Linked DNA regions of Schizosaccharomyces pombe. The protein of the gene in region 2 binds, or shares a complex with, the protein of the main gene of each other region. Each region holds a gene or a part of one and is shown on either strand. Other genes may lie near its edges.

Region 1 (3,994 bases), on a different chromosome or scaffold from region 2:
TCAATGCGGCGGATATTCCACCTGAATGTGATTTCTACTTTGGGTCTGAAATCCGTAACGGCCCTCTACAAATTATGGTTAGCACCAATGGTAAAGGTCCAAAACTTGCCAGTTTAATACGAAAAAAAATCGAAAGTTCAATCAATCCAGCTACTGGTATGGCATTGGAAAAAACTGGCCTTTTACGACAAAAATTACGAGACATTGTTCCCGAACCTGAAAACAGTCGCAAAAGAATGAGATGGATGATTGAGATTTGCGAACTGTGGTCTTTGGAGGAACTTGCCATGCTCGACGAAAATCTCATCAACCGACTTTTGGGATACTTCCCAAAAAAAACACCTAGTTATCGAGAAATAACGACTCCAGCCTACAGCAAGATAGACAACTACATATGGTTTGGAGCAATTATAATTTCTGGGGCTGTTCTCCTCAAACATGTTTCAAAAGCTCGTTAAAAGAAGCGTTTGATAAGTTAGTTGCTTTACGGAATATGACAATTACATTACTTTTCACTTTAAAACATTTGAATTTTGAATGGAATTTATTAAAAAACTCTTGTACTCATAGAAGGTTATTTTTCATATAATGCTCCCTAAACGAAAATGATACATCTTTGGAAAAAAGTTCCGTTGTCCATTACTATACTATCAACAGTTTTTTGAATAAAATTAACCTACAATGTATACTTGAAGTCAAAGTAGTTTTTATCGAAGAAGTGCACCCGAACATAACCATCTTCTCCACCACTAGCATAACCGGTTCCTTTGGGATGGACAGCTATTGTGTTGATAGGACCGAAATGACCCTTAACGCGGCCTAACTCTTCTTCTAAAATCGCATGATAAAAACGTGCTTCAAATTTACCCTGTCTAGCAGCAGTAGTAGTAACATCACGGGCTTCTTGACCACCTCCTAAAATAACGAAGTCTTGGACAGGAGTAAAACTAGAAGTATTAAGAGGCGTATCAGTAAGGTATGTTTTGATGACTTCAAAAGAATCAACATCAATAGCTTTAGCAGTCGTATCCTTGCAAGAAGTGATGAAGTAAGTACGATCAGGATAAAACTGAAGATCAGTAATAGTAGAACCAGAATTATGAACTTGTTTAGATTCAACGAATTCTCCGGTTATAGCATCGTATCTGGAAACGGAGCCATCTTCATGACCAGTAAAGAGAAACTTGCTCAAGTAAGACCATCCAGCGACCGTTGCTTTAGATTCACGAGTAGTAATAACGTAAAGGGGGGTTTCAGCAGCGGCATCGCTTTCCGAAATAGGAACACGGAAAACAGTGACGGTACCAGCATAACCCATACGTTCCTCGGTAACAGCAAGAATACGGGTATCATCTTCGTTGAACTCAACACGTTTGACAGCAGTAGGAAATTCCCACTTGTACAACTGCTTTCCTGTTTTAACATCCCAAAGACGCATGGTATTGTCAGCGGCTCCACTAACCATTAAAGTGCTACTTTCTGTTTCAGTTAGTAACCATTGGAAAAGGAACAGATGATCTAGTTGGATTTGAGGCATCAAGAAGAAGGAAAAGGATTTAAAAGAAGTTTAAATGCTTTCCACGAGGAAGTGAAGTGAGGTAAACGTAGCATTAATATAAGTAAAGGAGATGCACCATGCATATTTAACTTTAAGTACTACGCCAACTCAGAATCGTGGATCACGAGTATAACCATCTGCAATCGGACGACTAATAAAAAAAATACATTTATTAGAGTCATGATATGTTTCATTATTCGTGTTTCCTTATACTTCCATAATCCGTATACCTTTAGATGTCTTAATCCAACATACATCACCACCAATTTTCACGTACTATTAATATCACAAGTCCAAATTGCACCAGTATGACCCTCATATGTACCTAGGCGTTCACCATTGTGTGAAAACCAGACATTAATCACTTTATCCTTGGCACATGAGAATAATAAATCACCCTACACACAAAAATTAGTAAATTTTCCACATATAATGGACGGTTATTAAACCTACATCGTGATTATATTTTATTTGAGTCAAAGGACGCTCATGACCCTGTAAAATGATAGGCCTCATCTTTTGAACAGGAAAGTGCTGGTAGAGGGTTTGAGCGAAAAGTCTTTAGTTGTAATATTTTGATTCTAATTAGCGTAACTTAAGGATGGTATTAAAAATAAGGAGGCTTAACGACACTCTTAAATGAACTGGCTTCATTTCTGAGACACTTGCGTTAGACTAGTTAGACCCAAAGGTCGCACGTCTCACTTTGAAAACAGTATTTTGTGGTTTTGTTTGAATTTTGTCTGTCTTACTTATTTGTACAAAAAATAATATTTCTTTCGTGATTTTTAAAAAAAAATACAAAAGCGTTTGGTCTTAAACTAGCGTCTCTTTGTTCCATTCGTTTACGATTGAAAGTATATTTCCTTAGCTAAAAATCCTTTTCTAGCGTGCTTGGTAATTATACTTATAAAACATATCTAGAACCGGATAACCTGAGTGTTTTATAGAAGCGTCAAAAACATCTAATCGTTTTTTGAAAATAATTGTTTATCAAGATAATTATTTCTCTTTGATATTTAGCGTGCATTTATAAAGGAAAAGAAAAGAATTGACAAAATATCTTGACAATATGGGTAATTTATCAGGCTGGTTTATTCACTGTCCTCCATTACAATGGACACTTGATCAATTAGAAACGATGATGATAAATACAATTAAACGTGGCAAAGTACCACAACACATAGCCTTTGTAATGGATGGCAATCGACGGTGGGCTCGTCAAAGAAGGATGGAAACTATCGAGGGTCATAGCTCAGGTTTTGAAGCTTTAAAATCTGTAAGTTTAAAGAACATTAATAGAAGGTTAAACGTACCGTTTCTCCATGTTTTGCGCATTGGTATCCGTCTACGTTCTGCACAATTTGGTACATTAACTAACCCTGCGTAAGCTATTAAAAGTGTGTCTGAAGTTAGGAGTTAAAGAAGTATCGGCTTTCACATTCTCCATTGAAAATTTTAAGCGATCTAAATATGAAGTTGATATGTTAATGGAGATTGCAAAAAACAGCTTAACGCAAATTACTGCTCATGGTGATTTGGTTGATCAGTATGGGATCCGTATTCGCATTGTTGGCGATCTTAGCAGGTTGCAACCTGACGTTTTAGAAACTGCTCTAAAGGCTGTGGAAATTACAAAACATAACACAAAGTATGTGAAATTTTTCAAATTTTTATTTTGCTAATTGACATCTTAGGGCAACATTAAATGTTTGCTTTCCATACACTTCTCGACATGAAATTGCTACTTCTGTGCAATCAATAGTAAAAATGGCAGAAGATGGTACAATCACTCCAGAAGATATAGATGAAGATATATTTGAAAAAAACCTATTGATAAAAGATAGTCTTCCTTTAGACTTGTTGATTCGCACTAGCGGTGTGGAGCGTCTATCTGATTTTATGTTATGGCAGGTAAGTAAAAATTCTCCTAATTTTCTAGTCAAAGATATTCAACTAATTTTATCAGTGTCACAAAAATACGGAGATAAAATTCATCGATTTCTACTGGCCGGATTTTTCTATCTGGAAGTTTTTCCCAATGTTAATTCAATACCAGTTACAAAACCAACCAGCATAATTTATTCAATCCTTCGTTACTTATTTACTTTTGATAGGCTTTGGCTGTTAATTTTACATTGTATACATTTAATATGTGTTAGTAGCTGATGTAAATAGTTAGACACTACTCTAATTATGTCTTCTTAAATATTGTTAAAATGAAACTTTCTACGGTCTTGATCCGGAAAAATTAATAACTTCCAAATATGCTTGATCATCACGCTGCACTGCAGCCACACAACGCATAGCATCAAAATCGACATGCCATATTTTTGTGAGGTCTGTTAATAGAAAACGTAACAGCTTTCCAGTCCTAACATCCCATAACTTTACAGAACCATCATTACCACTAATAATTTTGTGTTCATCTGACAC
Region 2 (3,808 bases):
GATAAACTTCTCAAGCAACTATCACCCGGTGATTTCGAAAGGGCTCAGCTTGGTTTAGGACATTCATACTCTCGCGCAAAAGTGAAGTTCAATGTTAACAGAAATGACAACATGATTATCCAAGCTATTGCTATCCTTGATCAACTTGACAAGGACATTAATACTTTCGCTATGCGCATGAAAGAGTGGTATTCTTGGCATTTCCCTGAGCTTTCGAAGATCGTTGGAGACAATTACAAATACGCTGTTATTGTTACACTGGTTGGTGATAAAACCACCATTAACGACGAAATGCTTCATGATCTGGCAGCCGTTGTAGACGATGACAAAGATATTGCTCAAAGTATAATCAACGCTGGTAAAGTGTCTATGGGACAAGATATCTCTGAAATTGACCTCGAGAATATTCTATCTTTTGCTGAACGTGTTATTAAACTTAGTAATTATCGTAAACAGCTACATAACTATTTGGTTCAGAAGATGAATGTTGTTGCTCCCAATCTTGCTGAATTAATTGGTGAGATGGTTGGTGCTCGTTTGATTTCTCATGCCGGAAGTCTAACTAACTTGTCAAAATGCCCGGCTTCTACGGTACAGATTCTAGGTGCTGAAAAGGCTTTGTTCCGTGCTCTGAAAACCCGTGGAAACACGCCTAAATACGGTATTATTTACCATTCTAGTTTTATTGGAAAAGCTGGCGCTAAAAACAAAGGCCGCATCTCTCGTTTCTTGGCTAACAAATGTTCTATTGCTAGCCGTATTGATAACTTTAGCGATGCCCCAACTACGGCATTTGGTCAAGTTCTTCGTCGACAAGTCGAGGAACGTCTCAACTTTTTCGATACCGGTGTCGCCCCTACTCGCAATAGTATTGCAATGGCAGAAGCTTATGAAAAGGCATTATCGAGTGTTAACATAGACGGAGACGAGGAGGTTGACATTGACGTTGAAGAGACTGTTGAAACCATTTCAGAAAAGCCGAGCAAGAAAGAAAAGAAAGACAAGAAGGAGAAGAAAAAGGAGAAGTCTAAGAAAAAGCGTTCTGCCGATGATGCATCAGAAGAAGTCAAGAAAAGTAAGAAGAAAAAGAAGAGCCATTGAGACGTTATTTTTATTAGGATATAACGGGGACCATATTGCTCTTGCATATTTAGAACAACTTGTAATTGAAAAATTTGCTATAGATTATGGGCGTAAATACTGTAATATTACTAAATCGATTGATATCGAGCTTATCATTTTGATGGATGGACGTGTAAAACTTATCTCTTAGTAAGCATTTACATTTTATTAAGTAGCATTTATGTATTATTCGTATAAGAAGTGCTATTTATATCGAAAGTTAAAAAAATATTAGAAACCAGTATTTGACAATAATTACAATTTAAGTAAAGATCAAGAATCGGATAAAAATTTGTCTTACACATTGATTTACATTAGCTGGTAGTAAGTTCGAGCTTAATTAGTTTTATGAAAAACTATTGGTTAAAAAAAGCAAAAATATCATTAAGGAATTTAATATTTTTTGTACGAACATTGCTGACCTACTATTGTCATATTGCTTTTCAGTACTGTAGTCTAAGGGGGCTACTACTAGAGTTTTGGGTGAGTTGTGCTATCCTCCCCACACCACGCACTTTTTTTTTGCGTGAAACATATCAGATATGGGATCCGAGCTTAAGAGTACAAGCCCTTTAGGTAAGCTAATTTAGATTTATTTTTAAATACAGGAGAATGTTTTCTAACCTTTATAGCGGTCAAGTATGATTTGTCGCAAAAAATTATGCAACACCTTGACCGCCATCTCATTTTTCCTCTATTGGAATTTTTATCTTTAAGACAGACTCATGATCCAAAGGAGCTTTTACAAGCTAAGTATGATTTGCTTAAAGATACCAATATGACTGATTATGTGGCCAACTTGTGGACTAATCTTCATGGGGGTCATACCGACGAGGACATGGCAAATGCTTTTGCTGAAAAGCGACGCAGTGTTTTGCAAGAGCTCTCTGAACTTGAAGAAGAGGTTCAAGGAATTTTAGGTGTCTTAGAAAATCCTGACTTGATTGCAGCTCTTCGTCAAGATAAAGGTCAAAATTTACAACACCTACAAGAACATTACAACATTACCCCTGAACGTATAGCTGTTCTTTACAAGTTTGCTCAATTTCAATATAATTGTGGAAACTACGGTGGTGCATCAGATTTACTTTATCATTTTCGTGCCTTCAGTAAAGACCCTGAATTAAACGCCTCCGCGACCTGGGGTAAATTTGCTTCTGAAATTTTGACTGTTGATTGGGATGGGGCTATGGAGGAATTGGGAAAACTTCGCGAAATGGTGGACTCCAAAAGCTTTAAAGATTCTGCTGTTCAATTGAGAAATCGAACTTGGCTCCTCCACTGGTCCTTGTTTCCTTTGTTTAATCATGCAAATGGTTGTGATACTCTTTGTGATTTGTTCTTCTATACTCCTTATCTCAACACCATCCAAACCTCTTGTCCCTGGCTATTAAGATATTTGACTGTCGCTGTTGTTACTAACCAAAATAATGCAAATCAAAAACCTCGTAACCCTAGGCAATCTTATCAAAGAAGGATGCGAGATCTCGTACGCATCATTAGCCAAGAAAACTATGAATACAGCGATCCTGTGACCTCTTTTATTTCTGCTTTGTATACTGAGGTCGACTTTGAAAAAGCTCAGCATTGCCTCAGAGAATGTGAAGAGGTTTTGAAAACCGACTTTTTTCTCGTATCTTTGTGCGATCACTTTTTGGAAGGTGCTCGCAAATTACTTGCTGAGGCATATTGCCGTATTCACAGTGTCATAAGTGTTGATGTGCTTGCTAACAAGCTGGAAATGGACAGTGCTCAATTAATACAACTTGTTGAAAACCGTAATAATCCTTCAGTTGCCGCAGCTTCTAATGTAGCTGCCGATCAAAGTACTGAAGATGAAAGTATTGAATCTACCTCTACAAATGTTGTTGCTGATGATTTAATCACGGAAGCCGAAACTGCTACTGAAGCCGAAGAGCCCGAACCCGAGGTACAATTTGGGTTTAAAGCTAAGTTGGACGGTGAATCAATAATAATTGAACACCCTACTTATTCAGCTTTCCAACAGATTATAGACCGTACAAAGTCATTAAGTTTTGAAAGTCAAAACTTGGAGCAATCTCTTGCTAAAAGCATTTCGGAGTTAAAGCATGCTACTGTTTAGACAAGATTAGCAAATAGTTTAAAGGTGGAATATATTTCATACATTAAAAATAAAACATAGGAGTTTAATTAATTCGCTAATTTTGTATTTTCAAACAACTCGTTATTGTAGAAGATGACTGTGTACTTTCCTATTTAAAGAAACGTGCTCATTGAATATCGCTATTAGTATATTAATTTTGGAAATTTGAAACATGCGGGGATATTAAAAAAATATATATTATCTAAAATTTTTTTATTTTCTGAAGTGCATAAAAAATAAATAATTAATGCAAAAGTATTAATGCCGCTATCTCAACATGTAGAAAATGTGTCGGTGGAATTAACTTATGTATATATTAAATTGCTGTAATAATACTAATCCAATTGCATTAAATTAAATTTCCCTAATTGATAGATAAATAAACGATGCTGCAACGGTATTACCGTAATTTAATCGAAAGACTCGCTACAACTAATATGTAAGTTTGGTGTTTAAATTTCATATCAAACCAGTACACCACGAAAGCTTGAGACAGCATCCGTTTCCGTGCCACCAACATTTATCAACGCAAAGATATCTCTTGAAAAGAATAGATTTTTG
Region 3 (5,596 bases), 2.4 Mb from region 2:
GAAAATAATAAAGAAAATGGAAAGCATACCAACTAATCGGTCTATTGCCCATGTTTCAAACTCTTCAATGCTTATTTCAGAGACAGGAGGTTTCTTATAAAAATTAAGTCGCGTAGGATAACTTAAACTCTCAAAACTAGCACTAGAAAAATTTTGATTCTTTTCAACTACTCGACTTTTGGTCGTTCTGAACATGGTGGTTAGCGAAGAGTCTATTTGCGGTAACAAATTGTCGTGCCTCTCACCAAGAAACCTTTTTACTTTGAGTGTCTTTAAACAAATATTTTAAGCTGCTTAACCTTTTTGGTACTAATACAAAACACGTTGCTAATAATTAATGAATTATTTCTTCACTCGTTGTATTCAGAATTATTGAAATGAGAAATGCATACTACAGAAACGTCAACTGTAAAAACTCATCGTCGCTTATAAACTTGACATGTAACATCTTTATTCGATTAGTATCGTTCTACATTTACAATTAACAAGTCAAGCTTTAAGCAGTATTATACAAATTAAAAAAAGTTCAAAGGTTAACGATAATTATCTATTAAATAGAGCTACAAAAGGCTCTTTTTATACACATAACCGCTTTCATGAATTCCAATAGCATGAAAGTAACCAACTACCCTTGTAAGAAAAAGGAACTTACAACTTTCAATAGGAGAACACATTAGTTCATTTAAATTTATCAGCTGTGACATTAGATAATGCATCGTAAAGACTTGACTCCAATATCCAATTGCGACAATAATTAATTGTCGACAGGTTTATTTTCTTATAGACAGTAGGTTTACTACTGTTGTTGTTGATTACGTCTGCTTGGTGGAACATATGCTCCCTTAGAAGGAGCAAGGGTCTCACGAGGAGGAACAGAACCACGAGAGTAGCCACCACGAGAATACCTTGGAGAGTCTCGTGAAACACCGCCAGCACTAGCACCGCCGCGCCTCCAAGCACCAGGACTAGGTGAAGATGCGCCAATATTTGCTCTTCTAGCAGCTGCTTTCTCGGCAAGCTTACGAGATATTTCTTCATCACGCTCTTGCTGAATACGTCTTTGGCGTTCCAATTTCTCAGCCATTTCGCGCTGTTCGCGTTCTTTAGCTTCTCTAGCTGCACGAGTTCTTTCCTCGATAGCACGTTTTTGAGCTTCTTCTTGCTCATGAAGCTCACGGTTTGCCTCTTCCTCAGCAGCACGAGCAGCCTCCTCTTCAGCTTCGCGAATAGCCTCAGCCAATTTTTGTTCGAAAATTTCTTTACGTTGCCTTTCGCGCTCTGCATCAATGACATTTTTAGCTTTGGCGTATGCCTCCTGATATGCTTTATCACGTTCATCGTCAATATTTTGCTTATAGGCATGAATATAGGAAGCAAATTGAGCAAAAGCCTTTTTGTCTTTAATGGCTTGTTCATGCTTACGCTCTTGTACTTCCTTGCGTTGTTTCTCCCTCTCGTAAAAGATTTCGCGGTCATGTTCGGCTTGTTGTTTTGCGTCTTCTTCCCACAATGGGATAGCTTCACGACGATAAGCACGTTCCAAATGGTCGATACGCTTTCCAATAACACGCAAACGTTCGTTCATACTCTTATTTTGCTTTTCGACTTGTTCGATTTGCATAGCTCTCAATTTATCAGCATCCAAATGCTCCAAGTCTTCGGCATTGACTTCCAATCCACCCTTAGCTTTGAGCTCCTCGGCCAACTTTTTAGCTTCGTTAATGCGAATAGCTTCCTTCTCACGACGAATCCTTTCAGCATTACGTTTATTAATTTCTTCTTGAACGCGGAGAGACTCGGCTTCAGATTCTTGCTTTTGTTTGAGAGCGCGTTGAGCAGCAAGCTCAGCTTCACGTTGAGTAGCAAGTGTATCAGCCTGTCCACGACGTAATTCGAGAAGACTACGCTGAGCAATGACCGCTTTACGCTCCTGTTCAACACCAGCCTGAGCCCTTTCGTAGGCAGCCTCGGCTTGTTGCTTGCGTAAAAGGCAGAAATCGGTATCAAAACGCATCAAAACACTAGAAAGGGATTTGGCAATCCGCGTAAGTTGAGATGTAATTAATTCAGATGGAGTAGATTGAAGAGAAACAGAATCCGAAGACTTAATGGGATTAGAAAACAAGTCAGAAGAAAAGCTAATGGAATTTTCAATATGGTTCAAACGAATAGAAAATGCACCTTTCTTGTTACCATTCATAATGAATTTCTCAATTTGACCAGGGTTAAAATCGTAAGGCTCCTCGAATGTAGCAAGGTCCATAACATATTTCAATGAAATGGAATCATAAACTTGAGACAGTTGTTGGAAAAGACGAGTAAGAATAACCTGTTGTAAAGGACGAATGTATTGAGCAGTATCATTACTTTCTGCCAATCTTTTGATGATAGGCTGAAGTTTTTTGCAAATGCTCAATGGATGAAACTCAACTTCCAAAATCTGGTACAAATCACGGATAGCCTGATCACAGAAAGAAAGAACGCCACGAGAAATGGCATCCTTAATTAATGTTTCACGCGTAGGTGTTTTCGATAAGTTTAACAAAAGAGCCAAACGAGCATTCTTGCTCTTGGCATCTTCTGCCTCAATGGAAGGGCCCGATAATTTGTTGGCATCAATAATAGGGATAGAGAGAGCGCTTAAAATTACAAAATTAGCAGTAGCGGGTTTTTGCACATTTGTAAATGTGAAGTACCTATTCCAAGCTGCAGCATGAAGCAAATAATTATCACAAACCAAAAAGATTTTAATCAATTTACGGTAATAATTGCCAAGCATGACTGCAGCAGGAGCCCTCTTAGAGAACGTAAGCAAGCTGTGAATGTCTTCAATGGATCGGAAAGCTTCCTGCCAGAGTTCAAGCTCAACAGCAACGTTTAGCTGAGAGAAACGCATGTCCAGATGACGCTGCATAGTTTCAGCATCATTCAAGTTAATAGAGTGTGGAGCGTTTGAAAATTTAGAAGCATTGCCAAGATGGGACCGAAGGAGTTCACATAGACGGCGAAATTCGGTTTTACGCTGATACTTGAGGCAAAATTGGAATGCAGAGTTAGCAATTAACTGATACATTACTTCTAAACGAGCATTATTACGCAAAATATCAAGAACTGTACGATAAGCATCCCACAAAAATTTCAACCATGGAGTGACCAAAGCACGGTCTGTGCGGCTCTTGGAAAGGTCTCCCGAAACCAAAGACATCATGATGCTCTCGGGAGTTTCAGTAGCCTCAAGATCGTCAACATATTCAACTGATATCTTGTCTGCCTTCTCCTGAGCTTCTTGAACTCTTTTATTAGCAAGTTCAATAAAATGCTTGACTACATTCTCAATAGCGGTAACTGAGGTGTTTTGAACTGCGTTCTTGTAGGTGTACAAGCCTTCCTTTGCAATTTTTCCTTTGCGTAAATGAACACAAAGTTCGATGAAACGCATCATAATAGGCTCGAGAGAAAACCCCTGCGCGTTTCTTGATCTTTTCAAAACTATAGTCTCATGAAGAGATTGCAGTGCTGAGCTGTGCTGATCTAGAGCTATCAGCTCATCGGCAAGCTAATTTATGTTAGTCAAAGTAAGTAAAAAACTCATAATACATACCCTTAGCACATTTTCGGGCTTTCCTTGAGGAGGTGCCATGTTGTGCAGTTGAAAACTTCCCCCTTGTCGTAGTAAAATTTTATTACACGAATAGCGAGCTACCTCGCAGTTTTATATAAGCCACTAAACAAGAGGTACTTAATTCTTGATTTTGCAAAAAAAAATGTTAGCACATGCATATATATATAGTTAGTTGTTCATATCTTTCTTAGGTTTGACTTGAATAAGCATCACTTTTTGTGCAAAGAAATTAGTGGTTTACCGAATACGATAATATGACTAAATTTGAATAGATCGCCTAGTGTGAAGTGCTAACATACTCGTTAATCTATCATGTTTGTTTAAAAAATACCAGTTCAGTTTAGAACAGAGGAAAGCTCTATTTTTGCTTTTATTTGAACGTTTATGGGATAGTAGTCAGATTTTTCTGTTGCCGCTACTAATTACTATCGTTACACAATGTACATCCAAGAAATATTAGTACCGTTATAGTTTTGGAATTTTAGCCGTAGATCTGTTTCTACGCTAATCACCAAGTCCATTCTTTGTTTGATGTATTTGGTGATAAAACTAGTTAGTTCTTAAAATAATCTTTATTGCCGTTGAGTCGATACTCGCTTGAGTTCCTCATCAGGGCTTATGCATTGTTTTATACTTGTAGCATTGTCTAAACTCTTATTTACAATTGGCAACAAACTTATATAAACGTTGAGACCTTACCAGTGAAAGAAGTGTGGTTTGAGCGAAATATTTTCCGAGCCAATCTAAAATTTAAAGTGTTATCCTTGAAAAGTAGCAGAAACTCGCATTACTTTTACTCAAAGCTTGAATAAAGGAAGAAAGATTTAGCGAATATAGTTTGTCAAAGTATTATAATAAAGAGGTCATAACCCTATGTATTCCGAAAGATTTTTTTGTTAAAAAACGCTAAGTCCTCAATCTCTTCGACGCTAGGTAAACTCTAGAGGCCCATTTTGATGAAGCAATTTAATTGTGATTGGTGTAAATGTTAGACTTCTAGAAGAATAAACTAAGTGAAGTATTCGTTGATGGCGGGTACAAAAATATTAGCTTATAAACTATTCACAAAGATTCTTGAAAGGGCTTTTTATCAAGCATCTCGAAAATCTTTGTACTTTCACATCAACTGTATATAATTGTAACTCTTACATTTCCGTAAAATGCAAAATCACGCTTTCCAATTTCCTCTGGTTTTCTTTGAAAACAACACCAATAAATATAAAAAGAGAAAGAACGGGAAGAATAAATTTACCCCTTCCTATGTCCAAACTATTTTCATTTCAGAGTTCAACTGTTTACAATCATCTTTTTATTTCGGTCATTCACGTTACCCCCGCTTATTCTGCTTAATCATCAGCGGCAGAATGCACTATTGAAGTTTAAGCAAAATTGCACCTTTTTCTCGTAAATATAGTTACACCATGAAAGAAATGTAAAAAAGATAGTATGGTAAATCTATCTTGTAAAAGGCTTTCATGCAAACCTTCCGACTTACTTCTACTGGTCGAAATATTCTAAGACCCGATGAACTTGCTTTTCAGCCGAGAGAAGAGATTCCCTATAAATCTTTCCATCCAGACCTACAAATAGACGAACCTTTGGAAATATTAGAAGGTGACCATACACAATATGCAGGCCTTCGTGATTCTTTAGTAACCTATAAATCCGAGAATTCTTATGTGCTTAAAGCTTTGCTCAATGCCAAGATCGAAAACGTAAAGCCAGTAGGTGTTCAAACGGAAAATATTAATCCACAAGAGAAAAAATTTGGATATAAAACTGCGAAACAATTAGATTGGAGTCCAGACGAATATTTCAAGTTCGTTGCTATACATCCTTACTCAAAAACGTCCTTTCCTGTATCCTACGACTTGGATGAGTTAGACACAATGTGGTTAACATATTATAATGAGTTTCAACTTTCATCTAATTCAGAGTGGGAAAATGTTTCTAAAGAATTTTTAGAAATAGTTC

What was found.
Region 1: int6 (region 2) and sum1 share a complex: the UniProt entries of both Schizosaccharomyces pombe proteins name them as parts of the eukaryotic translation initiation factor 3 (eIF-3) complex.
Region 3: int6 (region 2) and tif301 share a complex: the UniProt entries of both Schizosaccharomyces pombe proteins name them as parts of the eukaryotic translation initiation factor 3 (eIF-3) complex.

Annotation. Positions count from the first base shown.
Region 1 is NC_003424.3:5,357,036-5,361,029, reverse strand, and holds sum1 (translation initiation factor eIF3i), read right to left. Parts: upstream 2,107-3,994; 5' UTR 2,075-2,106; coding exon 2,012-2,074; exon of another isoform or gene 1,957-2,011; coding exon 1,836-1,956; exon of another isoform or gene 1,480-1,835; coding exon 677-1,479; 3' UTR 526-676; downstream 1-525. Other genes in the region: met8 (siroheme synthase), read left to right, coding at 1-458; rer2 (cis-prenyltransferase), read left to right, coding at 2,631-2,837, 2,950-3,209, 3,256-3,472, 3,528-3,638; F-box/WD repeat protein Pop2, read right to left, coding at 3,788-3,994. UniProt on the Schizosaccharomyces pombe protein: Component of the eukaryotic translation initiation factor 3 (eIF-3) complex, which is involved in protein synthesis of a specialized repertoire of mRNAs and, together with other initiation factors, stimulates binding of mRNA and methionyl-tRNAi to the 40S ribosome.
Region 2 is NC_003423.3:938,118-941,925, reverse strand, and holds int6 (translation initiation factor), read left to right. Parts: upstream 1-1,617; 5' UTR 1,618-1,664; coding exon 1,665-1,698; intron 1,699-1,754; coding exon 1,755-3,226; 3' UTR 3,227-3,305; downstream 3,306-3,808. Other genes in the region: U3 snoRNP protein Nop56, read left to right, coding at 1-1,101. UniProt on the Schizosaccharomyces pombe protein: Component of the eukaryotic translation initiation factor 3 (eIF-3) complex, which is involved in protein synthesis of a specialized repertoire of mRNAs and, together with other initiation factors, stimulates binding of mRNA and methionyl-tRNAi to the 40S ribosome.
Region 3 is NC_003423.3:3,312,382-3,317,977, reverse strand, and holds tif301 (translation initiation factor eIF3a), read right to left. Parts: upstream 3,648-5,596; 5' UTR 3,641-3,647; coding exon 3,602-3,640; intron 3,557-3,601; coding exon 797-3,556; 3' UTR 526-796; downstream 1-525. Other genes in the region: DNA primase large subunit Spp2, read right to left, coding at 30-195; histone acetyltransferase complex subunit Nto1, read left to right, coding at 5,098-5,596. UniProt on the Schizosaccharomyces pombe protein: RNA-binding component of the eukaryotic translation initiation factor 3 (eIF-3) complex, which is involved in protein synthesis of a specialized repertoire of mRNAs and, together with other initiation factors, stimulates binding of mRNA and methionyl-tRNAi to the 40S ribosome.